Linked DNA regions of Ovis aries. The protein of the gene in region 6 interacts with the protein of the main gene of each other region in a biochemical or structural test. Links are inferred from orthologs where the notes say so. Each region holds a gene or a part of one and is shown on either strand. Other genes may lie near its edges. The genes, in order: MTMR1, NET1, ADGRA2, PBK, TMEM178A, DLG1 and GUCY1A2.

Region 1 (4,657 bases), on a different chromosome or scaffold from region 6:
CTTACAGTTCTGGAGCCTGGAAAGTCCCAAGATCAAGATTCTGGCAAGGTTGAGATAATTGGGACAGCTTTTTTCCTGGCTTTCAGAGAGCTGCCTTCATGCTATGTTCTCAAATGGCCTTTCCTCAGTGCGTCCTTGCAGGGAGAGTCCAAGCTCTCTGGCATCTTTCCTTAGAAAGGCACAATCCAAACATTTTAGGGCACCAGCCTTATGACCTAATCACCTCCCAAAGGCCTCATCTCCAAATACCTCAATACCAGTTTGATGGTTAGGGCTTCAACATATAAATGGTGGAGGTAGGGGGAGAGACAAACATTCCATCTGTAATACTTAAGCATTTTATTTAATAATTTTGGAAAATCAGAAGCCAGCAAGAGGTGGGTCTCCAGTATATCTGGAAATCTGCCCTTCCTTCCTCCTAACTCTTCTCACCCTGCCACCCTTTCACCCAAGTCTCATCCACTCTTGGGTTGTTAGGGTTTCAAGCATCACATTCTCACAGTTCAGTTGGAAGTTATCAATGTGAGAGGGCAAGATGGGTTTGGGATGGGAACTAATAACTCCCTGTCTACAGGTCTACCTTTTATCAGAATGCAAACTATTGCCTTTATATTTCACTGGCCAGAGTTTGGTCAGAAGTCATACCCAGGACAATCACAGGCAAGGGGCAGTAGCCATCATTCCCACCTCCAACTAAATCAGGGGTGGGTAACGGGCTGTGAGCCCATTCGATATGCAAACCCTAATAGAATGGTCAGGAAAATAAATATAAAGCAGGAATTAAATATCCTAAATGCCTTTATCATCAGATTTGGACTTGATTTCCGCAAGCGGTGATTTAGCCGACAGAAGTTACACGTTGCTGATAATATAAACTAAGGGCGGATGTTCCGAGGGCGGCATCAGAACACTTGGTTGCCCTACAGATGGCGGGGAGGTGGCTTTGTGGGTGCGTGAAAGGGCGGCTAAGAACGGAGTGAGGGGAGGTTGCTAAAATGTATGGGATTGCTCGGGGTTGGAGATGTCAAGAGCAGGGAGGCCCACGGGCGTTGGGGCTTCTCCCACCGCAAAACTTTTCTAAGGAAGGAAAACTGATGGAAAACGAATTGTACTGAATACTAGAATTACTTTAAACTTTTTTTCTTCTTTAACCCTGCATCTAGGAGTTTCCCGAGCAAAGCGCGTTCTGCCTAAGTCGTGGGTCGATTTCGACCCCGAGTGGCTTGGGACGTGTCCAGGTCGCCCGGGCCTCACCCCGCCGGCTGGCGGGCCGGTGGCCCAGGTGGGGCTCTGGCGGGGCTGGGGGTAGGGGGCTGGGGACCAGGCTCCGGGTCGCGCACCGCCCTCCCCGCCCCCCACCCCCACGCGCGCGGCCTTGTGGGTAACGCCGGGCGCCAGGTGACAGCTAATGGCGGCGGCCGTCTGAGCCGGGCGGGCGGCAGATCGGGGCCGCCGGAGGCGCGCTGCCGGACTTTCCGGGGCGCCGCTCCCCTCCCGATTGCGGCTTCCCCGCGGCGGCGGGCTCGACGCGCCATGGACAGGGCGGCGGCAGCGGCGGCGGCGGCGGCGGCGGCGGCGGCGGCGGGCTGCGAGAGCGGCGGGGGCCTGGGCCTGGGACCGGCGGGCGGCAGGAGGCCCCCTCGGGTCGCGGGGGGTCCCGCCGTCGGCTCCCGGCAGCCCAGCGTGGAGACTCTGGACAGGTAAGCGGGGCCCTGCCGCCCCCACCACGCCCCGACTCCCGAGGGCCCCGCGCGAGGCCCGGCCGCCCCTTCCCCGCTCGCCGGCCTGAAGCCGAGCCGGGGAGTCCGCCTCCCGTCTCCCCTTCCCTGTCCCCTCCCTGTCCCCTCCGGAGCCCCGCGAACCCCTGCCTGGTCGCTGGTCTCGCACCTGGCTCGTTTTCACAGCTCGCGGAAGCTTCCCCGCACCTCGAGGGGCTTCGCAGCTGTCAAACCGCGGCCCAGGCCGCCTCCCACTGCACCTGGGAGCCGCCTCGGCGGCCGATACCCCGGCCACAAATCGTTGGGAGGCATTTTCATCACGGCGCCCTCTTTTTCGCATGACCTTGCCTCGAGTGATCTCAAGATCCAAATCCCGCCGCCGCTGCTTGGGGGCTTTGACGTGGGGATTGTGAGGGGGTACTGGGGGGTGGAACCCCGTGGGTGTCGGAGCTGGTACAGATGGAGGCAAAGATACCCTCATTTCGATGGAAAACTTCCAAACTGCTCCTGATGCAAGAACACATCAGCGTTTACTTTCAGTTCCTCACACTTTGAAGGGACCAGTTCATTGTTTTCACAAACACGTAAGGCCACTGCCTGAGAACTAAGCCCACAGGCAGAGAACTAAGATCAAGCAGTTAGAAGCATAAACCGACCAGATCTAAGTGGGAGGGCCACCCTGACCCTCTGAGGACAAGAGTTTGGTGATCCCATCTCCTGGAGTATGTAGCTTTCCCTCATTTTGGGCATTTCACTGACACTAGAGTGAGTTAAGGCATCCCGGTCCTAAAGCCCCTAGGACAGTTTTAGATGTTGGTTCCTGCCTTAGTCACTCCAGTGAGATAAACTTTGGGGAGTTTCCAAAGGCATAGGAACAACAAGAAACACTCCCTTTGTGTAATTACAGTATGTTTTAATAAAGTCATTACCCAAGTGGTCAGCTTCTCTGAAAACTAATCACAGCTAAGATAGTGGGCGGAATGGTCAGGGTTGCACTATCTGTAGATACTCTATGATGTATGAGTGCTTGGAGAATTAGAGAGTAATGGCAGACGGCTTTTGCACTCTGGCTTAACATCTAGTGGAGAATACAAATAAAACAGCCATTGAAACCAAATGTGATAAGTGCCAGGGTGGAGGTGTGCTTGGAATCGCTCTGGATGACATGTGCATGGGAATCATCTGAGAAGCTATTTAAGAACTCCAGGTGGCCAGACCCCACTTCTGAGGCTTCTCATTCAGGAGATTTGGGTGAGGCCTAGGTGTTAAAATTTTTCAAAAAGGGCTCTACCACCTCAGTTGTGATCCACTGCACTATGGTACCCAGAGGTAGGGTATTCACTTCATTTTTAGTGGTAGGGACGGACAGGGTGCACTGTTTGGCCACTGGAGTGAAACGTGTGTCATATCCTGGCTGGATGCTAGATGTGGGGAATGGGTAGTAAAGGCCTGTAGGAAGGCAGGGGCTAGATCCTGATGGGGCCTGTGTGCCTTCCAAGGAGCCATGCCTTTGTCTTCTGGGCCAGTGCTTCTCCACACAGCTCTGTAGAGCCTGAGTCAGAATCACCTCTAGTGCTTGATTCAAATACAGACTCTTGGGTCCCACCCTAAATCTGATCCACCACCTCCTGGGTAGAGCCTGAAATTCTGCATTTTTAATAACCACCCTAGCTACAAGTAGACTGGAATCTGTGGTCTCTTTGGCTCCAGATGGTACAGAGTACTGGTTGGGCCAGTGAGATTATCAGTAGTATGCTTCTGCAACTCACACTGGTGTCCTGGTTTGGAAAAGGAATTATATGGTCACCTAGTTACGGAGGCCACAAGAGGAGTTTCATCAGGGGAGCTACAGGGTGGCCTCTGCATTTGAGAACAAGTGCCATGCAGTAGTGTTGTGAAGGGACTGGAGGCAGGGTGGTCTCATTGAGTTAGGTTAAGTAGGTTCTGGAAATGCTCCTCTCTCAGTCATTTATTCTGTGAATATGAGAACCTGCTCTGTGTCTGGCACTGTGCTAGGCCTGAGGATATAGCTAGGAACACGCACACACAAATCCCTGCCCTCGTGGGTCACCATTAGTGGGAGAGAGAAACCAAAGACCAAATCACATGTGTTCTGTGTTAGATGGTGATAGGTGTGGGGGGACAAGAGTCATCCGGGAGGGATAGAAGTGGCTGGGGTGTGCACTCTGGGCAGTGCTGGGAGTGTGGTGTAGGGTGGTCAGGGAAGGCCTTTCGGAGAGAAGTGGCATTTCAGTAGTGCCCCTGAAGAGGGGCCTAGTCATGCGCATAGCTGGGTGACAGCACTCTAGGCTGAAGCCTGTGTCACCAGCACAGAGGATGCTGGGGAGACGCAGCAGAGGACAAAGTCAGGTCACAGGGGCCACAGACGGTGGAGTGGGTGGCGTGGAGCAGAGGAGGGACAACACCTGGTGTAGATTTCAGTAAGGTCTCCATGGCTGCTGTGCGGATGACAGACCGGAAGGGGAAGGAGTTGAATCAGAGAGTCTAGCAGGTGGGAGGCTGTTGCAGTCGTCAGAATGAGAGAGGATGGTGGCTTCGAGTGGAGCCGCGGGCTGGAGGAAAGGAGAAGTGGTCAAGCTTAACATATCATCTGAAGGACATCTGCAGGGTAGAGCCAGCAGGGTTTGCTGCAGGGTGGCAATTGTCTAGGAGAAGGGGAGAATTGAGGACAGTTCCAGTGTCTTTAGCTTGTGGAAGATGGTGTGGCCGAGATGGAGAAGCCTCTAAGTGGAACAGGGTTAGGAAGTTAGCAGGCACTCACCCTGGATAGAACAGCAATGAGATGTCAGTTGGATGTCCCAGAGCAAATATCAAAGAGGCAGTTGGTTTGTTTAGGCCTGGAGTTCAGAGGTGGTGTCTGGTTTGGAGACCTGAATTTGGGAGTCACTGGCATAGAGGTGGAGCTTAAATTCATGAGG
Region 2 (4,617 bases), on a different chromosome or scaffold from region 6:
TGTATAAAGAATCTATGAAGAATTGTTTGGTGGGGAAAAGAAAGACACAGGATGAGTAAAATTTGCTATAACTATTGACAGCATCACTCACCATGCTGATCTGAAGGTGCCCCACTGCCCCTGGTAATGACAGGAGGCGCCAGCCCAGGTAAGCTTTATCACAGGGCAGGAAATGACCCCACCTGAGGGTTATACACTTAAAGCAGCACAGCCTGTTTTCAGTTTTTCACTTTTCTGGGGTCAAAGGAGGTGTGACAGGCCTGCCTGAGACCCCTGAGCTAAAATCTGTGCACAACCACTGATGAATTTGCTTAAGTTTATCCAAATCTGCTTTGACTATACCAAAGCCTTCAACTGTGTGGATCACAAGAAACTGCAGAAAATTCTTCAAGAGATGGGCATACCAGAGCACCTGACCTGCCTCCTGAGAAATCTGTATGCAGGTCAAGAATCAATGGTTAGAAATGGACATGGAACAACAGACTGGTTCCAAATCGGGAAAGGAGTACGTCAAGGCTGCATACTGTCACCCTGCTTATTTAACTTATATGCAGCATAAATCATGTGAAATGCCAGGCTATATGAATCACAAGCTGGAATCAAGATTGCCAGGAGAAATATCAATAACCTCAGATATGCAGATGACACCACCCTTATGGCAGAAAGCGAAGAAGAGCTAAAGAGCCTCTTGATGAAAGTGAAAGAGGAGAGTGAAAAAGTTGGCTTAAAATTCAACATTCAGAAAATAAGATCATGGCATCCACTTTCATCACTTCATGGCAAATAGATGAGGAAACAGTGGAAACAGTGAGAGACTTTATTTTCCTGGGCTCCAAAATCATAGCAGATGGTGACTGCAGCCATGAAATTAAAAGACACTTGCTCCATGAAAGAAAAGCTATGACCAAACTAGACAGCATGTTAAAAAGCAGAGACATTACTTTGCAAACTAAGGTCCGTCTTGTCAAGGCTATGGTTTTTCCAGTAGTCATGTATGGATGTGACAGCTGGACTGTAAAGAAAGCTGAGCAATGAAGAATTGTGCTTCTAAACTTTGATTTCAGAGAAGACTCTTGAGAGTCCTTTGGACTGTAAGGAGATCCATCCAGTCCATCCTAAAGGAAATAGGTCCTGAATATTCATTGGAAGGGCTGATGCTGAAGCTGAAATTCCAACGCTTGGCCACTCGATGCAAAGAACTGACTCATCGGAAAAGACCTTGATGCTGGGAAAGATTGAAGGCAGGAGGAGAAGAGGACGACAGAGGATGAGATAGTTGGATGGCATCACCAACTCAATGGACATGAGTTTGAGTAAACTCTGGGAGATAGTGAAGGACAGGGAAGCCTGGCGTGCTGCAGTCCATGGGGTCACGAAGAGTAGGACAGGTCTGAGCGACTGAACTGAGCTGAAAATGCTTCCCAGTTTCCCTTGACTTGTGGTGAAAGTCCTAATGAACTGTACACTAGTAATCGGGCCTTGGCGATTTAGGAACTAGACCCCAGGCCTCTGGCTCATCAGCCGGGCGACCCTGTGGACCACGCTCCCCCTCACAGCTTCCGAACAGTTTAGCGCCTTAAGGAAGGAGAGGGGCGGGACTCCACGATCCTAGCAACCGCGCCGCGTCCCCTGATTGGCTGGTGTCCGCACGGCCGCCATTTTCAAACCCCGGAAGATGGCGGCGGCGGAGGTGGCGGCGCCGTCCTGACAGGAACCCGTCTTCGGGCCGCAGAGGCCGGGCGCCGTGCCGCTCCCAGCGGGCCTCCCGGGCACCCAGCCACCGCGCCGCCCCCTCCGCGCCATGGAGCCCGAGCTGGAGGCCCAGGAGCAGAGCCGGCCGCGGAGGCGAAGCCGCCGGGCCTCGGGGCTCAACGCCGGCGGCGCCGCGGAGCCAGCGGCCGACACCCCCGGGCCCGGCCCGGACGGCAGGTGAGCGCGGGGTGAACGGCGCCTGGGGACTCGGGTTGTGGGGCCCGAGGCTGGGGAGGGGGTGGCGGGCAGGGAAGGAGCCGGGGGTAGGGGAGAGCAGGGCTGCCTGCTCTCCTCTGCTTCCTCCTCTCTCCCCTCGTCCCCCTCTTCCGATCGCCTGACCCTCCTTTATTTTTACCTCCCGTTCCTCTCCTTCCTCCCTCTCGTCTCCCCTCCCCGCTCAGGGGGTGGAGGTCCTCTCTGCACACCCAGCAGGTTTCGGGCTGGATTTGGGGGTGGCGGGGGCGGTTCCTAAATGCCCACCGAGAGCTGCTGGCTAAGAGGACTGGAATCGTTCCTGGAGCCGGAGAGTTTCTTTTGTTCAGTCGCTCGGTCGTGTCCGACCCCTTACGACCCCATGGACCGCAGACCGCCAGGCTCCTCTTGTCCAAGGATTCCCCAGACAAGAATCCTGGGATTCTTGTGATCCATTCTCTTCTCCGGGGGATCCTCCCAGCCCAGGCATCAAGCCAGCATCTCCTGCATTGACAGGCGGATTCTTTTACCATTGTGCCACCAGGGAAGCCCCCGAGGACTTCTACCAGACACCAAACTTTTAGCCTAAAAGCAAGCATTAAAATGAAGAGTTTCGCCGAGGTCACAGTCCCTCCTTTCGAGCCTCTGACCAAGTCGGTGATCAGGGCGCAGCTCAGGACCCCAGCCTCCCGGGTAAAGAGGACGCAGAGGCCCATCTTGGACTTTTTAGCTATTGACACATTTCATTCTGTCCTGTGCGTCTGCGAAGGGAGGACACCGGCCGAGGGTGTCAGAGGCGGTGTCTGCGAGGCGAGCGGTGAACGAGGGCTGGGGGCATTGCTTTCCCGTCAGGATGCTGCAGGCCCTGGGTTCCTGTGACCAGCCGTTGGACCTTTCATCTCTAAGGTTGGGTCCTCATCTGTCATATAGGGTTGAAATAGTATCCACTTCCTCCAAGTTGTGCAATTCAGTGAGGTCATTGTGTGAGCCTGTATGCAAGGAGTTAGAAACAAACTGTTATTTGCTGATTTTTATCAGTAATTCCACATCTGCTTCTCTTTTCAGAAGTCCCTGTGGTCCACTACTTATTCTTAAACTACAGTTCCTTACTGAAGTTACATTCCAGTCATGCTTGGATGTGCCAGTCATTTTTTCAGAGAAAGGAAAACACCTTAATTTCATGGACAGAGCATTTGTAAACTCACAGTTAATAAGTCATCGTGCAGAGAATTAGACTTTTTCATTAGATATTGATTTTTTATTTTGAAGATTAGGATAATCCTTGCCTGAAACCTTTATACTGATTACAACTTATATTTAAGAGGTAGTGAAAAAGCAGAAAGACGTCATCATCCCAGAGACTGAGAAATAGGAGAATCAGGACCATGTAGTGAAGGGAAGAAGAACAGTGATAAATTCATTCTGTGTTCATTCAATAAAGCTTTTGAGCATTTGCCTGGAAAGATCCCCAGAGGAGGGCATGGCAACCCACTCCAGTATTCCTGCCTGGAGAATCACATGGACAGAGGAGCCTGGAGGGCTACAGTCTGTGGGGGTCACAGAGAGTCGGACACGACTGAGCAACTAACACTTGCACTTTCCTAGATCTTCACAGTGTTGCAGATATTAAGAGATTTTGGTGAACAGATGAAGTCTCTGCTCTCATAAAGCTTACATTCTGGTTAGGAATGAAAGACGATAATGAAATACCAGGTGGTCATCTTGTGAGGAGAATTAAGGTATGGTAAGGGCAGGCATCGGAGAAGGCAGTGGCACCCCACTCCAGTGCTCTTGCCTGGAAAATCCCATGGACGGAGGAGCCTGGTGGGCTGCAGTCCATGGGGTTGCTGGGAGTTGGACACGAGTGAGCGACTTCATTTTCACTTTTCACTTTCATGCATTGGAGAAGGAAATGGCAACCCACTCCAGTGTTCTTGCCTGGAGAATCCCAGGGACGGGAGAGTCTGTTGGGCTGCCGTCTGGGGTCACACAGAGTCGGACATGACTGAAGCAACTTAGCAGCAGCAGCAGCAGCAGGACAGGCAGAGATAAGGAGAGGGGCAGTTTTGCCTTTTTTTTTTTTTTTTCACTTTATTTTACTTTACAATACTGTATTGGTTCAGTTTTGCTATTTTTAAAAGATCAAACAGTTCTCCTCCATGGTAATGATGCCATTTAAGCAGAGATGTGAAGGAATTAAGGAACTCCACCATGTGAAGATGTGGGGAGAAAGGCAGTAAGTACAGGGCTTCAAAGTAGAATCCTGTTCGGTGTGTTCAAGGACTGTAGAGAAGCCACGGTAACTGGAGTGGAGCAAATTAAAGTGAGAAAGGTGGACAGCGAGGTCACAGAGATGCCTGGGTCAGATCGGGTAGTACATGGCCAACCACCAGAAAGATTTCAAATTTGAATCTATGGTTGGGAGACAATAGAAAATTCTGTGATGTGTAGTTTAAAAGGATTGGTCTGTTACGTGGCAGGGAGAAAATCAGGGAGACTAATGAAGAGGTTACTGCAGTTTGAGACATCTGAGTGGTAAACATGGTGGAAAGTACTCCTATTTGGGATGTATTTTTAAAGTAGCACTGACAGGATTTGCACATGGATTCAGTGTGGAGTTAAGAGAGACAGAGGAATGGAGAATGATTCCGAGGTTTTTAATCTGAGCACCAG
Region 3 (4,043 bases), on a different chromosome or scaffold from region 6:
GCGCGGCACGGCAGTCCACAGAGGACCGTCACGCCCATTTTCACATGCTACCACAGCAGCCCTGGGAGATGGAGAAACTCGGGGCAGCTCGTGGCAGCTGGGGCCTCCTGACAGCAGGCTCGGGGCCCTCCCCTCCCATTTCCACGGGGTTTGCCGCCTCGTTCGTCCATCCAAGGCCCTTCTGCACCCTCCCTGCGCCGGTCTGACCAGGGAGCCGGGGAGGCCGCGGGCACCCATCTGAGGGGCCAGGTCCTTCAAGCGGCCTCCTGGCCGCCACTGAGGACACCAGGGATTTCGAGGGCAATGGAGACCCCAGCCCCGACTAGGGCAAGAGCTGCCCACCCAGGTGGGCCATGTGCCCCCCGAGTGGGCGAGGTGTCAGGGCCCTCCGCTTGTCTTCCGCAGGGACCTGAGAAACAACATCATCAGCACGGTGCAGCCCGGCGCCTTCCTGGGTCTGGGGGAGCTGAAGCGCTTGTGAGTGGTGTGTCCTGACCACCGTGCCCCCAGGCCCCGCATCCCTGAAGGAGGTCCCGTGGATCCCAGTCACCCACCGTCCCTCTTCACCATACATTCGGTGGGGGGTGGGGGGCAGACGCTTCATGCCCCAACCCCATCCCCTTTTTCTCCGCTCCCCACACAAGCCCCAGCCTCACATGTGTGTCCCTCATGGGTGGACCCACGTGCTGCCACGTGGCTGACCTGCTGAGGGTCTGCATGTCTCTCCAGGGACCTCTCCAACAACCGGATCGGCTGTCTCACCTCCGGGACCTTCCAGGGCCTCCCCAGGCTTCTCCGGCTGTGAGTGCGGGCAGGGAAGGCGGGGGTGGAGGGTGGGGTGTGAGGGAAGGCTCCCCAGACCCTCATGGGCCCTGCATTCTAAGGGCTCACCCCAGCCCAGGGAGAACCTAAGATCCCGTCTCCCTGTTCCACTGCAGAAACATATCTGGAAACATCTTCTCCAGTCTGCAACCTGGGGTCTTTGATGAGCTGCCAGCCCTTAAGGTGGTGTGAGTATCCTTTCCCCAGGCCCTTGCTTCCTTCCTCCGCCAGGAGGGGGACACATAAACACTGCAACCACGTGGCCAGCCTTCTGAGGAGGTGGGGCTGGGCGAAGCCCCACCGTCTGCGGTGATGCAGGGCGCAGGCTCGCGAGCAGAGTTTGCCCTCTCCAGCCTCAGTCTATCCCTGGGGCTCCATCCCCACCCCGGGAGCCCAGGGAACCCCTCTGCTCTACCCTGGGTCCCTCCACCCTCTGCAGGGACTTCGGCACCGAGTTCCTGACCTGCGATTGCCGCCTGAGCTGGCTGCTTCCCTGGGCCCGCAACCGCTCCCTGCAGCTGTCGGAGCGCACGCTCTGTGCCTACCCCAGTGCCCTGCATGCCCAGGCCCTGGCCGGCCTCCAAGAGGCCCAGCTGCGCTGCGGTGAGCTGACCTGAGCCCTCAAGGCTCCCGAGGCAGTGGGCTTGGTCTCCAGGGCGTCCTCTCCCTTAGGCCCCACTGGGGACCCGTCCTCCATCCGATTTTCTAAACTTCCTGGGGGAGTGCTGCTTGGTTTATGGTTTTCATCTGGTCCCACCTCTTGGGGTGACAAAGCGTGCTATGGAAAGACGCACTTTTACTCGTTCAAAACCTGCCTGCTCCTCTCTTCTGCTTTAATCTCTGGAGACACTCCAGCCCCCTTCTTCTGAACTAGGGTGGGCTCCAGACAGAGGGGCCTTGTCCTCACCTGGCACTCAGGCTCACTCCCGGTGTCCTCGCCCACAGAGGGGGCCCTGGAGCTCCACACACTCCACCTCATCCCATCCCTCCGCCAAGTGGTCTTCCAGGGCGACCGGCTGCCCTTCCAGTGCTCCGCCAGCTACCTGGGCAACGACACCCGCATCCGCTGGTACCACAACCGGGCCCCCGTGGAGGGCGACGAGCAGGCGGGCGTCCTGCTGGCTGACAGCCTGGTCCACGACTGCACCTTCATCACCAGGTACAGGCCCTGCAGCCCCTTCTCAGCCCAGAGCATGGGCGGGGGGAGCCAGAACCCTCACCCACCCACCCACCCCCGAGAGGAGCTGGTCTGCTCCTGGGAATATCTGTGGGCGCGTTTATGCAGATCCAGAACTAAGTCAGAAATGGTCCGCGTGAGGGATACAAATTGAATTGTTGTTTTAGTCACTAAGTCATGTCCGACTCTTCTGCAACCCCATGGACTGTAGCTGCCAGGCTCCTCTGTCCATGGGATTTCCCAAACAAGAATACTGGAGTGGGTTACTGTTTCCTTCTCCAGGGGATCTTCCCGACCCAGGGATCCAATCAGTCTCCTGCAGTGGCAGGTGGATTCTTAACCACTGAGCCACCTGGGAAGCCCTACAGATTGCCTGATAGGAAAAAAGCTGATTAAATCTGACATTTCTTCAGTACCTTTACAAGGATACAGAGGGTCTCACCTATATTGTTGGACTTGCTCTCTGCAAACGTCTTGCAAGAGAGGTTTTATTACCTCCGTGATGAGGGTGGGGAGATTGAAGCCCAAAAAAACACTATCGTAAGGCCAGCATTAAGGGAGTATGAGCCTGTACCCTTGGCTCAGAGCCTGGGGGACTTCCTTGGTGATCCACTGCCGGGGGGCCCAGGTTCCATCTCCGGTGGGGCAACTAAGATCTTGCATGACTCAACTGAAAAAAAAAGAGAAAAGAGCCTGAAGCTGGCACCCGGGCGCTCAGGGAGGGTGGCGTGGCCGCCAGGAGCGCCTCCAGCCAGCCCTCGCCCGCCTGCCCGCCCGCCCGCAGCGAGCTGACCCTGTCTCACATCGGCGTGTGGGCCTCAGGCGAATGGGAGTGCTCCGTGTCCACGGTCCAGGGAAATGCCAGCAAGAAGGTGGAGATCGTGGTGCTGGAGACCTCGGCTTCCTACTGCCCCGCTGAGCGTGTCGCCAACAACCGCGGGGACTTCAGGTTTGGGACCACCCCTGGCCGTCCCCTGCCCCCAACCCAAGCCTCTGCGATGCGAGTGAACAGTGCCCCCACCTGCTCTAAGATGGAGAAAACACTTCCTCTTGTCATTCAGCTCCGAGTCCCGTTGGTGTGTTTAGAGAGACCATATATCCTTTTGTATAAAATCACCCTTCAAGATGTGCTGTGCAGAACAAACAGGGGTTTGGGGTTTCTTTTTTTGGGGGGGGGGTGCAGTTGCTTCCCTACGTGGATAGTTGACAAAACTCTCCCATGACAGATGTCACATTTTAATATCCCAGGGGCCTCTCCCTTAGTCAGGACAGGTGTTATTCTCCCATCCTACAGTTGAGAAGACTGAGGCCCAGAAAGTATAAGTGACCTGAAGTCAGGACTCCAAGGCCAGCCTCACAGCAGTGACAGCACTGTCCCAACAAACACAGCTTAAGAACTCAGGGGGAGCTTGGGAAGCCCTTGAAGTCCAGTCCACACGGCCTCTTCTGGACCCTGCCTCCAGCTCCCAAGGGGTCTGGCCTCACAGTTCTCAGGGCAGGGAAGGGACGGACCCTGGCCCTGAGGAGCCTGGGTCATCAGCAACTCTCCACCTCTGCCCCCAGGTGGCCGCGAACTCTAGCTGGCATCACAGCCTACCAGTCCTGCCTGCAGTACCCCTTCACCTCGGTGCCCCTGAGCGGGGGAGCCCCTGGCACCCGAGCCTCCCGCCGGTGCGACCGCGCTGGCCGCTGGGAGCCGGGGGACTACTCCCATTGTCTGTACACCAATGACATCACCCGGGTGCTCTACACCTTTGTGCTGGTGAGGCCGGGGCGGGGGTGGAGGCCATGGGGAAGGGGAAGGGGAGAAGCTGGCTGGCCCCACGGGGCTGGGGGCCCCTGCGTCCTTGGGAGGCACGGCGAGGAGCCACAGGGCCAGCACTGTGTCTCACACTCGTCTCCTCTTCCCGGGGATTCAGACTCCCCAGGGCCACACTCGGCACGGGAGGGCCACCCCAATCCTCTGTCCCCCAGTACAGCAAGGTCCGACTTAAGAGGAAAGCGTGAGGTCATCCCGTTGTCCTTAGGGGTGGCGCAGCCGGAG
Region 4 (4,832 bases), on a different chromosome or scaffold from region 6:
CAGTTCGATCCCTGGGTTGGGAAGATGCCCTGAAGGAGGAAATGGCAACGCACTGCAGTGTTCTTGTCTGGAACATTCCAGAGGAGCCTGGTGGGGTACAGTCCATGGGGTTACAAAGAATGGGACACAGCTGAGCAACTGAAAACACACAAAGAGACCATCTCTGCTTAGGAGAGGGTGGCCAAAAATGGGAGGGCCCTGAAGGTGGAGACATGTGTGTGTGGTGTGTGTAAGATGGAAGAGGTTTTGAACATATTTGTTAAAGAGGAACACTAAATTAAGCATGAGTTCAAATCCTGACTCTACCGTCTACTGGCTCTGTGACTTTAGGCAAATTACTTAACCTCTCTGTGCCATTTGGGTTTCCTCATTTGCAAAAAGATGGGCTTTTCAGCTATAGTTGCCTACATTATAGTCTCCTTTGTATTGTGTTGTGTGTGTGTTTCTTTCTTTGGACACTTCCCTACCCTTCCCTCATCCCCCTCTGCCTAAGCTCCTCCTGAGCAGGAGAGGGTTCTGTGACTTAATCATCTTTGTGTCTCTTTCAGTGATTGCTAGAGTATATCTTCTGCAGTGGGCATTCGACACATATCCGGCACATAGTAGGTGCTCTCTGGGCTTTCCTGGTGGCTCAGACAGTAAAGAATCTGCCTGCAAAGCAGGTGACTTGCGTTCGATTCCTGGGAGGGGAAGATCTCCCCGAGAAGGGGAAGATGCTGTCTAAATATTTGTTGAATAAATGAACACATCCCTTTGTGGCTCAGCTGGGAAAGAATCCGCCCGCAATGCGGGAGACCCGGGTTCGATCCCTGGGTTGGGAAGATCCCCTGGAGACTGGAAAGGCTACCCACTCCAGTATTCTGGCTTGGAGAATTCCATGGACTGTATAGTCAGTCCATGGGTTCGCAAAGAGTCGGACAAGACTGAACTGAACGTAGTGATTACAAGAGGTAGCAAAATTTCTGAGTATCTGTGTTTCTTCTCAGTCAAAAACTATTGCTACTCAAGACAGGGGCATTTTTAGTTACAGTGTTTCAAGGCCAAATTTGCAGTAAAAAAGACAAAACAGCCATCACACATTCTGGGCACAGCCGTCGTAATTGGGAAAGGATTTCAGTCTAAATACAGGCATACATTTTCTTTTTAACTGGAGTTGTCCCTTTGAAGGGCTGATAGTGGCTGCAAAAGTCAGTTCGTCCTTTGCTGCGCTTCTCTACCTTTTATTTGGCTTCAAAGCATCCCTATTGGGTAGTAAGGGAGAAGGAAATGGCAACCCACTCCAGTGTTCTTGCCTGGAGAATTCCAGGGACAGAGGAGCCTGGCGGGCTGCCATCTATGGGGTCGCACAGAGTTGGACACGACTGAAATGATTTAGCAGCAGCAGCAGCAGCAGCAGCAGCAGCAGCAGCAGCAGCAGCAGCAGCAGCAGCAGCAGCACTGGGTAGTAAGGTGGGATCTATAAACAGAGTGGAAGGCCTGAAAAGAACAGGAACGGCGAATCCGGCTTGGTGTGTCCTTTGCGCCTCCCCGTAGTTCGCGATCGACGTAGGGGCGGTGCGTGCGTGGTTTTGAAAGCCCGGCGGGTTCCCGTAGGAACAACGGTTGCCGAGTCCGTGTGTTGGCAGGTCGGACCCCACCCCTCACCCCAGGGGGCCGCGGAGCGTTGGGGGCCACTCGGGACCAGTTTTCAAGACAGCCTTTCCCTGGACGTCTCGTCGTCCTACCTCGTGGCTCTGGTAAGGAGAGAGCTTTTAGGGGTCCTGCTGCGAGTGGGCCTGGCCGGGAGTCCCGCGCCCCTCGAGCCGCGGCCTCTTTACTTTTTTGACAACTTGGGGCCTGGAAGGAAGGAGGAAGATGTTGGGAATATGCATTAAACTGAGAATTATCTTAGGAAGCATCTTGGCGACCCGCGTGCGCATCAGAATTACGGGGTACGGTGGGGATTCGAAGAAAGAAATCGCTCTTTTCTCAAATCAGAGCTTGACACTCTGTACTTTTTATGAAAGCGCCGTAGGAACCCTCCAGGCTCCTTTGTCCATGGGATTCTTCAGGCAAGAATACTGGAGTGGGTTGCCGTTTTCTCCTCCAGGGGATCTTCCCGACTCGGGGATCGAACCTCCTGCATTGGCAAGCAGATACTTTACCACTCATGCCACATGGGACGCCCAGGTGCTGTTTTTTAAGGGATATTGAGTGGCTCTATGCAGCATTTAAGCAAATGTTCTCTCTTCCTCTCATTTTTTTATGGACAATTCAAACGAGCTTACAGACAGGTAGTAACAGTTTGCTTTACAGTAAATCTAATACAAAACCAAACCTTTTTTCAAAAGAATAGTAATTATTTTTAATAAAAAAGATTTTTAAGGAAATATGTTACAGAAGAAAAAAAAAGCCTGTATTAACTTGCTTGTGTATACAGTATGTACATTGTATTTTCACAGATAATTTTAAACTAATAGTTTATTGAGATGTAATTAACATATCATGAAATACACTCTTTTGAAAGTGTTAAGTGGTTTTTGGAATAGAGTTGAATATATTAAACCACTACCTAATTTTAGAACATTTTTATCACCCCCAAAAAGATGGCATACACCCACTAGCAGTCGCCCCACATTCTCTCTTCCCTTCAGCCCGCAGCAACTACTCATTTATTTTGTCCATGGATTTGCCTCTTCTGGATATTGTGTGGAAAAACAATCATATAAGTGGCCTCTCCTGTCTGCTTTCTTTTACTTGGCATAAGCTTTTCAAGATTCTTTCATGTTGCAGTATACCTGAGTACTTCATTCCTTTTAATGACTAAATAATATTCCCTATGTAAAATATATACTCTGTCGAATAATATTTTATTGTGTGTAGTATATGCCATCTTTTCTATATCCATTCATCATCTGATGGCTATTTCTGTTTCCTTTTTTTGGCTATTATGAATAATACTGCTTACAAAGCCAAGCTCTTAAAAGCATATAAAAGATCTGTTAATAACCACTCCTGGGAAGTGGAGGGGGGGTACTAGGTGATTTTTTTTTTTTTGACCAAGTGCATATATTATTTTTTAAATAAAACAAAAATCCACAATCATTAATAGCATGACCTTGGGTATGTAATTTTACTTATCTTTAATTTTACTTTATCTTTTTCCCTCTCTGGGTTTCCGTTTTCTCATTGTAAATACAATTGGACTAAATATTTGTCATGGTCTTTTTCAGTTCTCAATTTTTTTGTAAATAAGTGATAGTATTATAGGAATTTTTTCTTCATGAATGAAAGATGTATTCTTTATAACTGCAGTGTACCTTTCTATTCATTTTTATCATAGGACCTTAAGGGATTATTACAATGGAAGAAACCAATAATTTCAAGACACCAAGCAGATTATCTGAAAAAAGGAAATCTGGTAATCTATAAAACCTTTCTTCATTGTTACTAATATCAGAAATGTCTTCATAGTATTACAGTTAAATCTTTTTATTGTTATCTATCACACAAGAACAGTTTTAGTATAAGTCATCTTTATAGTGTTGATCTTAAGAAATAAGACTTCTTTTATAGGTCAGAGTTTGGTCATCTGTGATCTAATTTTATTGACATTCTAGCAGATTTGTAGGTTCTCCCTGGTGAAGAAGCAATTTAACTTGAACCTCAAAGGAACTACTTTATCTTTCCCCCTCTATATATGGGAAGGGTATTTTCCAAGGCAATTCAATAGACACAGGGTAATTTGTCACTTCAATTTGACAAGAGCTTTGGGCTTCGTTTCTTGGTGCTGCAGCCTGGAAGGTGTCTCTAGGCGGTAAGTGAGGGCAGTGATAGGACTCACCTCATTAGTTTCTCTCCTCTCAGAGTTTATAGTCCTGCCCTGTCTATTGTGAAGTATGTGAAAGCCGTTATATTTTGTCAAATTTTCTAGTTGTTAATGGCAAAAGGGCAATCCAAGAGCAGTTAATTGTTCATGAGCAAAAGTAGGACTACTATATCTCATCTCTTTTAATAACCTTATACTACTCTGTAATATAGATGTGCTGTAATTATGACTCTAATGATGATTACTTAGGCTTTTATCTCTCTCTCTCTTTTTTTTTTTTTTTTTTGTAGCTCTAAAACCAGACCCCACTATTTGCATGCGTACGTTCACGTGTGTATATGGTATCTTTGGCTGCATGCCGTAGTGCAGGCACTAGCAAACTTTTTGTAAATGGCAGATAGTAAATGGTTTAGGCTTTGTGGGTCATATAGGAACCCTTTTGGCATAGTCTTCTTCCTTTCTTCTTTCTTCCTTGCCTGCCTCCCTCCCTTCCTTTCTTCTTTCCTTGATTTTTGCCTAAATTAGTCATTACTGTGATTGCTGAAAAATGATATTAATAAAATTTATTTTCTCTGTGATGCTTTGTATGTGTCTCTGTCACCTGAAGTCTTGTTTACTATCTCCAGAAGGCTCAGCTCCTGGAGAAGCTGAAGGTGTGTTTAGAAGGGTATGTTCCAGGAAGAGTTAGAGGTTTGGAGTCCAGACTAATGTAATCAAGTACACTGAATCTGTCTCTGTTTCCCCTGTTCTGGCTCCAGAGAAATAAGACAGTCACTGGTGAGACTGCTGCCATTCTGTGTAGTTTCTATACCTTGAATTCTCTCATCTCTAGGATCCTGTCCCTAATTGTCTTTGTTCTGAGGCCTCCTCGGGTTCTTTTCTTTCCTGGACATGGAATCTAGTTCTTCTGTTTTGAAACCAGATTTGAATTCTTGACTCAGTAACCCTGGCTTCTTAAGCAAGTTGTTCTCTGGAATCAATTCCATGATAGGAGTTAGAGTTATGCATAAGTGCCTTGAAGAGG
Region 5 (4,043 bases), on a different chromosome or scaffold from region 6:
AGAACGTGGCTTTTTGTTGTTGTTGTTGTTGTTGTTTTCCCCCGTCTCAGAGGAAAAGAATTTATCATAAGGGTCAAGCTCTGACAGCTAGAAGAAAGCTTCAGCAATAGGACTGTCACACTGAACGAGATCACAAAAAATAAATAAATAAATAAATTCAAAGGATCCAACACGCCTGGGAGCCAGGTATCGTCTAGACTTCAGAAGAGCAAACTGATGTTAACAAAACAGCCTAACAAAGTATCAAAATCTGAGCGGGTGATTCTGTAGAGACTCCGTGTGCAAATACAAAAAGCTCTACTTTAAAAGGCTTGGGCAGGTTTTCCACTCTGCTCGCCCTGAACTGAGGATGGTGCGCCCAGCCATCAGGAGGAAGGCTGCAAAACAGTCGATGTCCTAGCTGCATTCAGCTGCCTCCACCAGGGCATTACTGTCGTCTGAGGTCTAACCCAAAGGAACCCCGCACTTCGGGGTTTAGAGGAAGGTTCCTCCGGCCTCCTGAGCTCCCCATTAGCCTGTCAGACTGGCATGACCACATCAGTCCCGTCTGCTACCAACATTAAATCAGTACAAGAATAAAGCCCTTTCCTCCTCTTCTGAGATTTGCACCACTTTTCTTCCAAAGGTATTTCTGAAAGGAAAGCACAACTTGAGGGAAGGAGCCCAACTGGGCAAGGCTGGGTCTTTTTGAGGGTTCCCTTCCTCGCCAGCGGCAATCGTCACATGCATTCCAAGTCGGGCAGGTGTACAAAGAGAGCGAAGGACGAGAGAGGAGAGGAGAAAAGGGGGAGGAAGGAGGTCGCGGAAGCAAAGGAGACAGAGGAGGATGAAGAGGAAAGAAGAGTCGGGGAAAGAAGAGCCAGAGAGAAGGGAGGGACGGAGAAAGAAAGGGAGAGGGATAAAGAAAGGAGGCGGCGGGGAAGAGGAAAGAGTGTGCCAGGGACGCGGCGGGGAGGCGGCCGTGGGGACCGGCGCCCCTGGGGAGCCACGAGCTGCCCTCCGCTAGCGGGCGCCTGGGGCGCAGGGCGCGCCCGGCGCTCACCTTTCAGGATGAGGGTGTCGATGTCCCGGTCGATGCCCAGGAAGTAGCACTTCCTCCAGAGGCCCGAGTAGGTGGCGAAGAGCGGCCGGCCGCACTCGGCGTCCAGCCCGCCGAGCCCCAGCAGCGAGCGCCAGGACTCGGGGTCGGCGCGCCCTGGGCCGCCCGGGAGCAGCCGGCGCCCCAGTGGGGGCGAGTCCCGCAGCGGCAGGTGCGACAGCGGCATCAGGCGGTTCTTCTGGTCCGGGGGGTCGGCGCCCGCGCGGCTGCGCTCGCAGCTCTCCTTGTGGCGCCGGGGGTCGGTCTCGTACCAGTGGTCGGTGAAGATGGCCGTGACCAGCAGCCCCAGGGAGCAGAGGCTGAGGCCGAGGCTGAGCGCCGTGACGAGCGCCCGCGGCTCCATGGCTGCTCGCCCCGCCGCCGGTGGGCCCGCGCGCCGCCGCCAGACACAATGCACTTGGCCTCGGCTCGCTCCGCTCCCTCTCTCCCGAGCTCCCCCACCTGCCCCCTGCCGCCCGCGGCCTCCGGCTCCCGGCCCGGCGCGCTCCCTCCTCGGCTCCCTCCGACCGCGCGCCCGCCTCCTCCCGGGCCCGCCGCTCCGCGCCACCCGGCGCCTCGAGCACTTGCTCGCTGCCCCCAACCCCGCTTGCACCGCCGCTCCCGCAGCCCCTTCCCCTCCCTTTTGGAGCCCCCCTACCCTGCTCACCCCCAGCTGTCCACACCGCCCGATCGATGCTTCCGCCCTGCTCTCCCGAGACTCCTCTTCCCTTTCGAATCCCTCTCCTCGCCACCTTCACTTTTCCCCTGTCCCCTCCTCTCTCCCCTTCACCCAGTCTCTACTTTGCCCCTACTTTTCTTCAACTCGTCCTCCCTCTTCTTCGTCCCTGTCTCCCCGCTCTTGTCCCTTTCTGTCCCTGCCCTGGCCGCGAGGCTTCTCCCCAGCTACCCACGAGCGCTCAGCCGTCCTCTCCCCTCCGACGACCTGAAAAGACATCCACCCACATCAGACTCAGTCTTGTCACTTGTCCAAGTTGATGTTGATCAGTGTCCCGTTTTGTAACCAGAAGCGAATCCCATCTGGGTCGGGCTGCGCGGTGATACTTAACTCAGGAATCTGGATCCGGAGCCGAAGACCCTCTGTCCCTCCACCGAAGAACGCAGCCTCTCAGACCCCTGGGCGGCTCTGTCACCCGGTCATCCCCCGCTTTTCCCTCTTCCTCGCCCACGGCAACCTCTCAGCGCTCTCTCCGCTCCAGACCCTCTTCTGAAAGAAAAGACACCGAGTGTCACTAGAGCGATGGACCAATGGCCAGAGATTTTTCTCCCACTCCAGCCTGCTCAGAGATGGACTTCTTTCTCGTCGACCACCTCCATCTCCCACTGGAATGACGGCCTCCTGGAATTTCTACAAGTCTATAGTGATCAATAAGCCCTTGCAGTGGCACCTGGTCTGTGAGGTGATTGTTGTCCTTAAATAAATAAAGTCCTTAGTAATAAATCAAGGGGATGATTTTTTATTTTTTCCTCCTGTGCAACTTACATGGGCTGGGAGGGTCAGCAGCAGAGCGATACTACACACCAAAGTCAACATCTCAGCTTGCTTCTGCTTTCTAGGGCACTCGGAGGCATTAATTGAGAATGGCAGGCAGAGTCACATTTTCTAAAATGAGGAAACCTTAGGACTCAGGGTCCTGAAAGAGTTAATCGCTGTGTTGTGTGGAATCTGATGATAGAGGAGCAATACCCTCCTGCCACTTAATGCCCAGGGGGCCACATCACAGACAGAAAACCATGCTGTGGGAGCCCAAGGATACCAAGTTTTGTGTTCTTTTGCCATGTTAATGATCAAAAGGTGATGAGGCATTCATTGGACGCTAAATGACATTACTCCACGATTTAATGGGACTTACTAATTAGTGCCCCATATCAGTTGGTATGAATATGATTTATATATTTCCTCTGAAATGACCTCTGTAAAGGTGGTATAAGAATCTTCCTGGGATTTGTTTTCATTGCTGTTTATACTCAGCATCTTCAGAGGGTATATTGCCCATGAAGGCTGTGTACCTCCCTTCACAGATAGATCACTGGAGCAAATCTTTCAGTCATATTGGGCACCCCCTGCCTATTTCTGCTGACCTGACAATGTGAATTATTACTTGGATTGTCTCAGCAAGATCTATGGTGAGCTTCAGTCTAATTAAGGAAGACAAAGAATTATAATTTTAGTGTTCCTCTCACCTATAAGCTTTTCCTTAACAGGAAATGCTAAGCTCATCAAAGGAGTCTTATCTGGATTTACACAAAAAAATGATGAGACTTAGAAGCTTGCTTTTATTTATACTCTATAATATGTGTAAAATCCTCAATCTTTATGGATACACAGAAAGAATATCTTTCACTGTGAACTCACAGCTGATATCTGAAACTCACTCTAGTTATCATATGTCCTTTTATTTTTTGGAAATGCCTCTTGAGATCAAGATATTACAAACCTTGCAAGTCCCAAGGATAGTCAAACCTTAAGCAACTCTTCACTCCCTTTACAAATCCTGATGTACTCCAACAAATAAATATTCTGCCACATTTCAGAGTCACCTGATTATCTTCACACAATAACCATGTCCCCAGCTGGAGCCAACAGAAGGAAAACTCTTTCTCAGGCACTACTGTCTAACTTAAAAGAAAATAATGTTCTGCTTTATTTTCTTAGCCAGAACCCTTTGATCATACCCTTCTCTGAAAACAGCATTATCCTTGAAGTTCATTTATGTCTATGTTTAAAACCAGTCTCAGCATATAATCCAAAGGTTACTATATGATGGATTACCCTTGACAGTATTTCATAAAAAATGTCACACATTACAAATATAGGCCAGCAGCATGTAATGAGAGCACTGCTTCTGCTGGTGCAGCATTAACAGCATCAGCAGGAATGTGACATATGATGTGTATACAGGTTTTGCTATAGTAACTGAGTATCCGCCATCTATGTTCTTAAAAT
Region 6 (4,043 bases):
AGAGTCTCTAATATTTACTTTATTAATTTAGAGCAACTCACCAGATTTGTCTTCATTTTAGAATTCAATATAGTTTGCTATTGGATTGTACTAAAAGTATGTTTTTTTATTTTCTCATACAATATAAATTTCTCATACACTACTGAGAGAATAGTATGTCTGTTACCATTACAAGTTAATTTTGCTATTTCTTTTTACTCTCATTGTCTTCTTGTATATAACACAAAATTGAGCTTGGCATTGTTTTGCCTACCGTGGTACATTGTTTTGTTATCTACCTAAATTATATATATACTTTTAGGATCTGTTTATTTAATATTGATAATATCATTATAAGAAATGCAGACTTTTTTCTTCTTAATCTAGGGCCCTCTTTGATTATGACAAGACTAAAGACAGTGGCCTTCCTAGTCAGGGATTGAACTTCAAATTTGGAGATATCCTCCATGTTATTAATGCTTCTGATGATGAATGGTGGCAAGCCAGACAGGTTACACCAGATGGCGAAAGTGATGAAGTTGGGGTGATTCCCAGTAAACGCAGGTAAATATAAGTCTGTTAGAGTCTTACCACTTGAAAATTGGGCAATGTGAATAATTGCTGGGTTTTTTTTAAATTTCTTTTACTGAAGTGATGATTTTATGCTTGGTGTTTTATATTGTGTTTCACAGCCATTTAATTTTATTCACCTTGTATTGTAACTGGGCTTCCCTGATAGCATATTTGGTAAATAATCCACCAGTAATGCAGGAGACCCCGGTTCGATTCCTGTGTCAGGAAGATCCGCTGGAGAAGAAATAGGCTACCCACTCCAGTATTTTGGGGCTTCCCTTGTGGCTCAGGTGGTAAAGAACGCACCTGCAGTGTGGGAGACCTGGGTTTGATCCCTGTGTTGGGAAGATCCCCTGGAGAAGGGAAAGGCTACCTATTCCAATATTCTGGCCTGGAGAATCCAATGGACTGTAGAGTCCATGGGGTCACAAAGAGTCAGACACAACTAAGTGACCTTCACTTCCTTTCACTTTATATTTTAACCAATGATATAGTGAGAGAATATGAAGCCCCCAAATAGAAATTTCTCTAAAGTTCCTACTAGTTGTTAAAAACAAAGTAAGTATATTTTAAGTGCCTGTGCCACAGATCTATACCAGTAGAGAAAGAATTAAAAACCTCTATAATTTTCCCATGTGGTGGTTTAATTTCAGTCGCTAAGTCATTCCAACTCTTGCAGCCCCATGGACGATAGCCTGCCAGGCTCCTCTGTCCAGGGGATTTTCCTGACCCAGGAATCAAACCCAGGTCTCCTGCTTTGCAGGCAGATTCTTTACTGACTGAGCTATGAGTTTTCCCATGTAGGTGGTGTTAAAACTCAAATTTTCAGGGGTTTTGATTGTGTGAATTGCCTCTTCTAGATAAAAAAGATAAAGCATTTTAAATGCAAAATTTTAGAAATATCTAAAATTATCTTTTAGATATTTTAGATTTTTAGAAATGTTTATTTCTTTTAGATATCATCTCTTTTTCTTGTTTAATTTAGAATCATCTGTGCATTCAGTAGTCTTTCCTCTTTGTTTTAACTGATTATTGTAGTGATTCACTCACTGGTGCATACTTACCATCTAGTGGCATAAGTGGTTAAGTACAGAGTTTCTTTGAAAAAGGTGATCCCAACAACTCTCTCTGAGGTCAATGAAATGTTATTGGATGTCTCTACTTCTACGGGAAAGGTGTTAAAACATCAGTTCATAATTTCCCCAAAAGAACTTATATATGAGATCTGATTCAGCTAAATCACTGCCTAAAACTTAAGTTTTAAGATAACCAGTGAAAATTGTCAGAGAGTCATTAATGTTTATTTTAGCTAGTTAATTCACTTCAAGTCAAGCTTATGATATAATAAACTTGTTCTTTCCTTGTTAATAAATTGGACATATACTTATTTTGTTGAGACTCTAAATTGATACTTATGCCAAATCATATGCCTGTTTATAAACCTCTCTACCATATATATATTTGTACATCTGTTGATAGGCTTTGAAGAATGTTGAAATATTGTGAAGATCTCTGTAACTGTGGTTTTGGAATTTATGACTGTTGTTGGCTAGATCCATATTTTCAGCAAGATCCAACTATTTGGTGACAACTCCTCTTTTAGCAATGCAACCCTCAGCATAACTTCTTCCCTAGAATAGAATATAGTATCCTTTAAACACAGAAATGCTTCCTCTTTGCCTTGTTGAGTCAATAGAAACCTCACATCTTAAATATCAAGGTCAGAGTTCCTAAAAATTGCCTTTATCTCTGGAAATCTTTTATCTTGCAAAGGCTTTACATGTGTCTGCAACAAATGAGAAATACAGCTGACTTTGGTGGAAAGAGATATTTTTCATTTTGTATAAAAATTCTGTAAGGTTGGATTTTGAAGTCAAAAGTGATAAAAGAGATACACCTTGACACCTCTACAAATTCCCAAATTCGTGAATAATAATATAAAATATAATTTTCCTGCCATAAATTACAGTATGAAATCACAACCAATTATGCCATTTCATCCTTCAGTGTATTCTAAACTTGTATTTTTTTACATAGAATGCTATCATCTTTAATAATAGCACAAGGACTTGGAGTTCCTACAGTTCTTATCTTTCTTTCAGGAACAGTATTGACAAACACAGTTGAAGTCACTCAACTATTTAGTAAGCAAAATAATGATTAGAAAACAAAGCCATTTGAGTTGTAAATGTTCATTTACTAAATGTTAGTTTTTCAGTGCCCTGAATAAGTGCCTTGGCAAAATTATAAATTAATTATTCCTATTATGGACCCTCAAGGTTGCTCTGGAATAGTAAAAACAAAAATTTTAAATCTGTGACTGCTAGGGTTATTCTGTACCCATGGTAAAACTTTATAGTTAGATGATAAAAAAAAAAGGATATGCTTTTATTCATAGGCTTTTTGGTAGGTTTTTCTGCTATATACTAATATAATTGCTATGCTGAAATCAAGGATTTATAAAGCTTAATTTGTATGAAATTTTTCAAGATTCATACTGGTTGCAATATTCATACATGGCTGTAGATTGTACACTATATACGTTGTAGTATGTTGCTTGCTTGTTTCAAAAGTAGCACTTTCAACAAGGTTTAAAATTCAAAAGATTTTAACAGCTGTACAGGCCCCCTCTGCACCCTGTTCCCCACCCACCCATTTCACCTTCTTCCCTGAGAAGTTAACTAAGGTTACCATTCTGTATCCTTCCAAAGATACTTTAAAACTATATTTTATGTACTGTAAGTGGTTATTTTATGTATTTATAGAAATATATCATTGGAATTAAGCTTAAATGTTTTTGTTTCCCTCCTTTTTATTTTTAAAAATTTCAGAGCTGCAGAAAATATAAGTACAAAAGAAATACAAGAATAGTACATAGAATACCCATATTTCCTTCATCTACTTTCCTCAGTTGTTAACACTTTACTTCATTTGCTTTCGCTGTGACATTGAATTTTTAGCATATGTGTTCCATAAGCTAAATATTCAAAAACCAGAACAAATGGAAAACCTGGAAAATTGCTGAACTCAGAAGTGGTACATCATAATAATTTCAATATAGTTATGGATTTGAGTGTATATAAAAGTATACATACTTATACTTCACAGGTGGTTTTGTTTCATAATAAAATGAGCCCTATATTTCATTTCTCAGAAGTTGTTATTAATTGTGAGATGCAAATGACTTTTAAAGGCTTTAAAATATAAAAATGCTCCATATTAAAGTAGCAGTCCTGATGATTTCTAGTTAGAGCCTTGAATATGTTTATTATACTTAAAAAATGATCTGTGCTTTGCCAGGGTTGAGAAGAAAGAACGAGCCCGATTAAAAACAGTGAAATTCAATTCTAAAGCAAGAGGAGATAAAGGGGTGCGTATATGAAATCTGTTATTGACTTTTTCATAATTCTTGTTTGAGCTACATTATTAAAGTTAGAAGGACCTCGCCATAAAAATAAACAACAGCTCTTGCCATTGGTGGTTTACAATAA
Region 7 (4,043 bases), on a different chromosome or scaffold from region 6:
CTACAAAGAAGGTTTATTTACGATACAAACTCAACTCTTTCATCTGTGTGGTGTTCTTTCTCAGGGCGGATCTTACTATTGATAGATCATATATGATCCTGCTTGAAATTACTATATAATGCATTGTGTATATTTATTTATCACTATAATTCCATTATTAAAAGGTAGATTTCCTTTTGCCATGGCATCTGGGAATAAGTATGAATGGAGAAAACTTAACAAAGACTTTTAACTCTGGTCAGATTCCTATTCCAGGGTTGTCTGCTTTCATTTTTGTGAATGAAGGAATGAATGCAGATCATTCCACAGTTTTAATTCCTTGTTTTGTCTCTTCATTCCTGGGGTCTAGATGACCTGCATGGTTTTTTTTTGAGATTACTATTGTAACTTAAGCAATTCTGTCTGTTCAAGATAACCTGGTGCTTGTCTCTGCTTGTGTACCATAGAGTCCCTCTCTGGTTATATTTCCCATTTAACAAATGAATTGTGATAATTAATAATATTGAATGGATATAATAGCATCTTAAAATTATTCAATGGTGAGGGAAATTGCTAAGTAAAATATAATATTCATGGTAATTACAGCGAATGGGATATAATATTGAAAAACAGCTAGATTAGCAGGTTTTAAGAAGATCATGCTCCAGGGGTTAAGGGGACCCAGGAATGAATAGGTGGAGCACAACAGATTTTAGGGCAGCAAAACTACTCTGCATGATACTAAAATGGTGGGCACATATTATCACACATTTGTCTAAACTCAAGGATATATAACATCAAGAGTGAATCCTAATGTAAACCATGAACTTTGGATGATAATGTTATATAAATATAGGTTCATTGATTGTAACAAATGTACCACTGTAGTGTACAATATCAGTAGTTTCCAAGGGAGGAGGTTGTGTCCGGGAAGTGAACGGGAGTACGTGGACAATATATTCAACTAAGTTTTCCTATGTATCTAAAACTACTCTAAAAATAGTATATTTAAAATTAAACAACAACAAAATGTTTATGCTCATTAACATCTTAGAAGCATCCAGAAGATGAACTGAAATTTACTTTCTCTAAATCAAAATGAATGACTTAACGTATTGGGGAAATTTGTGTACCCAAGGGGACTGCTTCTCTTGCTTTGGTCACTAGCTACTCTTCTGATAAACATTTAAAAAGCTATAAATTCAATTACTTAAAAAAATAAATTCAATTACTTGTATTATATCTTATTAACATTTGCTTCCATTTACCTCTAGGTTTGAAGTTTGAGGAAATCCAAGAAAGATTTGGTGAGGAGTTCTTTAATATATGCTTTGATGACAATGAGAGAGTCCTTCGAGCTGTAGGTGGCACATTGCAGGACTTTTTTAATGGCTTTGATGCTTTGTTGGAACATATTAGAACTTCTTTTGGAAAACAGGCCACTCTAGAGTCACCATCATTCCTATGCAAAGAGCTCCCAGAAGGTACTCTTATACTCCACTACTTCCACCCTCACCACATTGTGGGGTTTGCAATGCTTGGAATGATTAAGGCTGCAGGAAAGAAGATCTATCGGCTGGATGTGGAAGTGAACCAGGTCGCTGAGAAACTGTGCTCCGATGGTTCAAACCCAGGCAATTGTAATGGCCTCGCTTTCCTTATCAGACTATGTGAAAATGCTAATATCACGAAGAACCTTCCTCAGGGAACATCCCAAGTTCCTGCAGACCTCAGAATTAGCATCAACACCTTCTGCAGAGCCTTCCCTTTTCACTTGATGTTTGACCCCCACATGTCAGTCCTTCAGCTGGGGGAAGGCCTAAGGAAGCAGCTCCGATGTGACACTCACAAAGTGCTCAAGTTTGAGGACTGCTTTGAGATCATTTCTCCGAAGGTTAATGCCACCTTCGAAAGGGTTCTGCTGCGCCTCTCCACCCCATTTGTGATTAGGACCAAGCCTGAGGCTTCTAGCACTGAGAATAAAGACAAGGTAAGTGGCCATGTTGATATGGGTGAAAGGAACTGCGAGATTTCATACTTCTTTTAGTATATTACATGCTGGCAGTACTTATAATTATTTAGGCAAGAGAACCTAGAGTGCCATTTAGAAAATTACTGGTTTCTGGATATGTATAAAAAGACTTGACCCTATTCCCAGCTGTTTTGCATATTGTCTGCCTCTTTCATTAATCTATTTCATCACACAAAAAGCAGACATTTATTATTACTAGCCATAGTAATTACAAAAATGATAGGATTTACTAAAGACCTGATATTATAAATCCGCGAATATTTCCACTGATTGAGTCAAGCTCTGAGAGAAATAGTAAGACTCACTTCAACATTGTGGGAATTGCTTGCCTTATCCTTAAATAAATACAAGTAAAAGCTAGCTACACTTTGAATATGTTATGTTCTAAATTTCACAACCTAGGAACTCTGGTTTACATCCTATTTTTCTTAATATGCAGAACAATATATTAAGTGACTATATCAAAACTTCTAATTAAATTTTAGTGTTGAAAATAGGCATTTCTTTAGAACATTTTCACTCCTTGAGAGAATACACTGGAATTATTCTATTTTTTAAATTTAAGGAATATTAAAGCTGTGATTTTTGCTTTCTAGAAGTACAGTATTTGGCTGGGAGGGATTGAAGCATTTTGAGCCTTAAAATTGAAGGTAATATTATCGAAAATGTGCTTGAAGTAAAATATATTGTTGTCAATGTTGATTGCTTTATATATTTTATAGATTTTAGAACAATCAATTCAATTTTAAGTTACTGCTTCAAGTCCCCCCCCTATATTTCATCTGGCTTGTATGTCTATTTAATTTGTATATCACAGTAAGAAATAGACAAAATGAGATGATGACTCAAATGTCAAGGCCCCCTGCAAGTTCCAATAATAAGAAACTGCTCATTAAGAAGATCCAATTATAATTTAAATATGTTAGTAGCTGTTTAAAAATAAACTAGCAAGAGACAGCATTTTTATTTAAAATAGGGATAGCAATCCCTTGTTCTGTTTACATTTCTGCTTATTCACCTGGGTTTGCTAGAATGAGACATTCAAGAGGCTACAGTTAGTCCAAACGAAATTATAGTCAATAAAGTTATGACACGGAATCTTAACCAGATGAGTGATATTTTTCAGTTATTTTAGTGTCAAAATTATAGTTTTCTAAAACATGAAAAGAAGAAAATCAGAATTAAAAATTATGATCCTGTTGATAAATTTGGCCTTGATTCATGATTTTTTTTCTGTAATTGCTGGCCTTGTTAATAGTTGTCTGAAGTTTCCAGTTTTATATTGGACTTTTATAAGAAAGTGCTATTTTTCAACAGTGTAAGATATTTAGTCTTTAGTCTACAGTGAAGGCTTTCTTTGGAATGTAACTATTTTAGCTATGCACATACTACCAATTATCTACCACCCCCTTCCATCAAAAAGAAAAACAACAACAACAACAACAAAAAAAAACAAGAGCTAATCATAAGCTGAATGACGGTAAATCATTTTCAGAGTGAACTGTATTGCTTTCACTAAACCATGATCTTTGTCGTTTTGTGTTGTCAGTTAGGGTTAACTATGTAGCTAGAGGCAGAATACTCCTGTGAGCAATTTGGTGAGGTAGTCATCATCTTAGTTTCGGAGAATTTATATCTTTATTCTGCAGTAATAAGGTCCAAAGACATGTGTTGATTACCAGAAGCAAGAATGTCACTGAGGGGCATCAAATAGATTTCCAAAGAGAGGCAAAGGGGAATCTGATTTTCGACCAGGAAGAGCTCAATCTGTTATTAAGATTAAGTTAAATATTCCCTGACAAATTAGGCTGCCTATCTTAGAGAGTTATTTGAAAAGATTAAATGATATAATCCATGTAAAATTCTTATATCCTTGGCTTCAGGGTTAAGTGTTGATTAAATGCTCATTATTATTAATTCTACCATTGTTATAATTATTGTTCCTTTCCTTTTGTAATATTCCTTCTATCCATTCACCTCTCTTCTTGCCTTATGGAAGTAAGTACTGGAGATCAGTAGGTTGAGTAATTTT

The links.
Region 1: the proteins of DLG1 (region 6) and MTMR1 interact in a test that uses a peptide from one of them, tested with the Homo sapiens proteins (2 studies listed by IntAct, with this or other methods). The link is inferred for Ovis aries from reciprocal best matches to the Homo sapiens genes DLG1 and MTMR1.
Region 2: the proteins of DLG1 (region 6) and NET1 form a complex in vitro, tested with the Homo sapiens proteins (3 studies listed by BioGRID and IntAct, with this or other methods). The link is inferred for Ovis aries from reciprocal best matches to the Homo sapiens genes DLG1 and NET1.
Region 3: the proteins of DLG1 (region 6) and ADGRA2 form a complex in vitro, tested with the Homo sapiens proteins (2 studies listed by BioGRID and IntAct, with this or other methods). The link is inferred for Ovis aries from reciprocal best matches to the Homo sapiens genes DLG1 and ADGRA2.
Region 4: the proteins of DLG1 (region 6) and PBK form a complex in vitro, tested with the Homo sapiens proteins (2 studies listed by BioGRID and IntAct, with this or other methods). The link is inferred for Ovis aries from reciprocal best matches to the Homo sapiens genes DLG1 and PBK.
Region 5: the proteins of DLG1 (region 6) and TMEM178A interact in a test that uses a peptide from one of them, tested with the Homo sapiens proteins (2 studies listed by IntAct, with this or other methods). The link is inferred for Ovis aries from reciprocal best matches to the Homo sapiens genes DLG1 and TMEM178A.
Region 7: the proteins of DLG1 (region 6) and GUCY1A2 interact in a test that uses a peptide from one of them, tested with the Homo sapiens proteins (2 studies listed by IntAct, with this or other methods). The link is inferred for Ovis aries from reciprocal best matches to the Homo sapiens genes DLG1 and GUCY1A2.

Annotation. Positions count from the first base shown.
Region 1 is NC_056080.1:84,853,802-84,858,458, reverse strand, and holds the start of MTMR1 (myotubularin-related protein 1), read left to right. Parts: upstream 1-1,403; 5' UTR 1,404-1,533; coding exon 1,534-1,700; intron 1,701-4,657. UniProt on the Homo sapiens protein: Lipid phosphatase that specifically dephosphorylates the D-3 position of phosphatidylinositol 3-phosphate, generating phosphatidylinositol. Could also dephosphorylate phosphatidylinositol 3,5-bisphosphate to produce phosphatidylinositol 5-phosphate.
Region 2 is NC_056066.1:42,755,236-42,759,852, reverse strand, and holds the start of NET1 (neuroepithelial cell-transforming gene 1 protein), read left to right. Parts: upstream 1-1,669; 5' UTR 1,670-1,801; coding exon 1,802-1,929; intron 1,930-2,713; exon of another isoform or gene 2,714-2,797; coding exon of another isoform or gene 2,798-2,850; intron 2,851-4,617. UniProt on the Homo sapiens protein: Acts as a guanine nucleotide exchange factor (GEF) for RhoA GTPase. May be involved in activation of the SAPK/JNK pathway Stimulates genotoxic stress-induced RHOB activity in breast cancer cells leading to their cell death.
Region 3 is NC_056079.1:32,184,840-32,188,882, forward strand, and holds part of ADGRA2 (adhesion G protein-coupled receptor A2), read left to right. Parts: intron 1-405; coding exon 406-477; intron 478-729; coding exon 730-801; intron 802-938; coding exon 939-1,010; intron 1,011-1,261; coding exon 1,262-1,425; intron 1,426-1,767; coding exon 1,768-1,981; intron 1,982-2,783; coding exon 2,784-2,948; intron 2,949-3,562; coding exon 3,563-3,761; intron 3,762-4,043.
Region 4 is NC_056055.1:102,233,730-102,238,561, reverse strand, and holds the start of PBK (lymphokine-activated killer T-cell-originated protein kinase), read left to right. Parts: upstream 1-1,597; 5' UTR 1,598-1,736; intron 1,737-2,006; 5' UTR 2,007-2,169; intron 2,170-3,322; 5' UTR 3,323-3,342; coding exon 3,343-3,400; intron 3,401-4,492; coding exon of another isoform or gene 4,493-4,576; intron 4,577-4,578; coding exon of another isoform or gene 4,579-4,653; intron 4,654-4,654; coding exon of another isoform or gene 4,655-4,832. UniProt on the Homo sapiens protein: Phosphorylates MAP kinase p38. Seems to be active only in mitosis. May also play a role in the activation of lymphoid cells.
Region 5 is NC_056056.1:84,529,226-84,533,268, forward strand, and holds part of TMEM178A (transmembrane protein 178A), read right to left. Parts: intron 2,304-4,043; 5' UTR 1,443-2,303; coding exon 1,043-1,442; intron 1-1,042. UniProt on the Homo sapiens protein: Acts as a negative regulator of osteoclast differentiation in basal and inflammatory conditions by regulating TNFSF11-induced Ca (2+) fluxes, thereby controlling the induction of NFATC1.
Region 6 is NC_056054.1:192,364,993-192,369,035, reverse strand, and holds part of DLG1 (disks large homolog 1), read left to right. Parts: intron 1-366; coding exon 367-543; intron 544-3,852; coding exon 3,853-3,922; intron 3,923-4,043. UniProt on the Homo sapiens protein: Essential multidomain scaffolding protein required for normal development. Recruits channels, receptors and signaling molecules to discrete plasma membrane domains in polarized cells.
Region 7 is NC_056068.1:16,133,696-16,137,738, forward strand, and holds part of GUCY1A2 (guanylate cyclase soluble subunit alpha-2), read left to right. Parts: intron 1-1,253; coding exon 1,254-1,969; intron 1,970-4,043. UniProt on the Homo sapiens protein: Has guanylyl cyclase on binding to the beta-1 subunit. Isoform 2 acts as a negative regulator of guanylyl cyclase activity as it forms non-functional heterodimers with the beta subunits.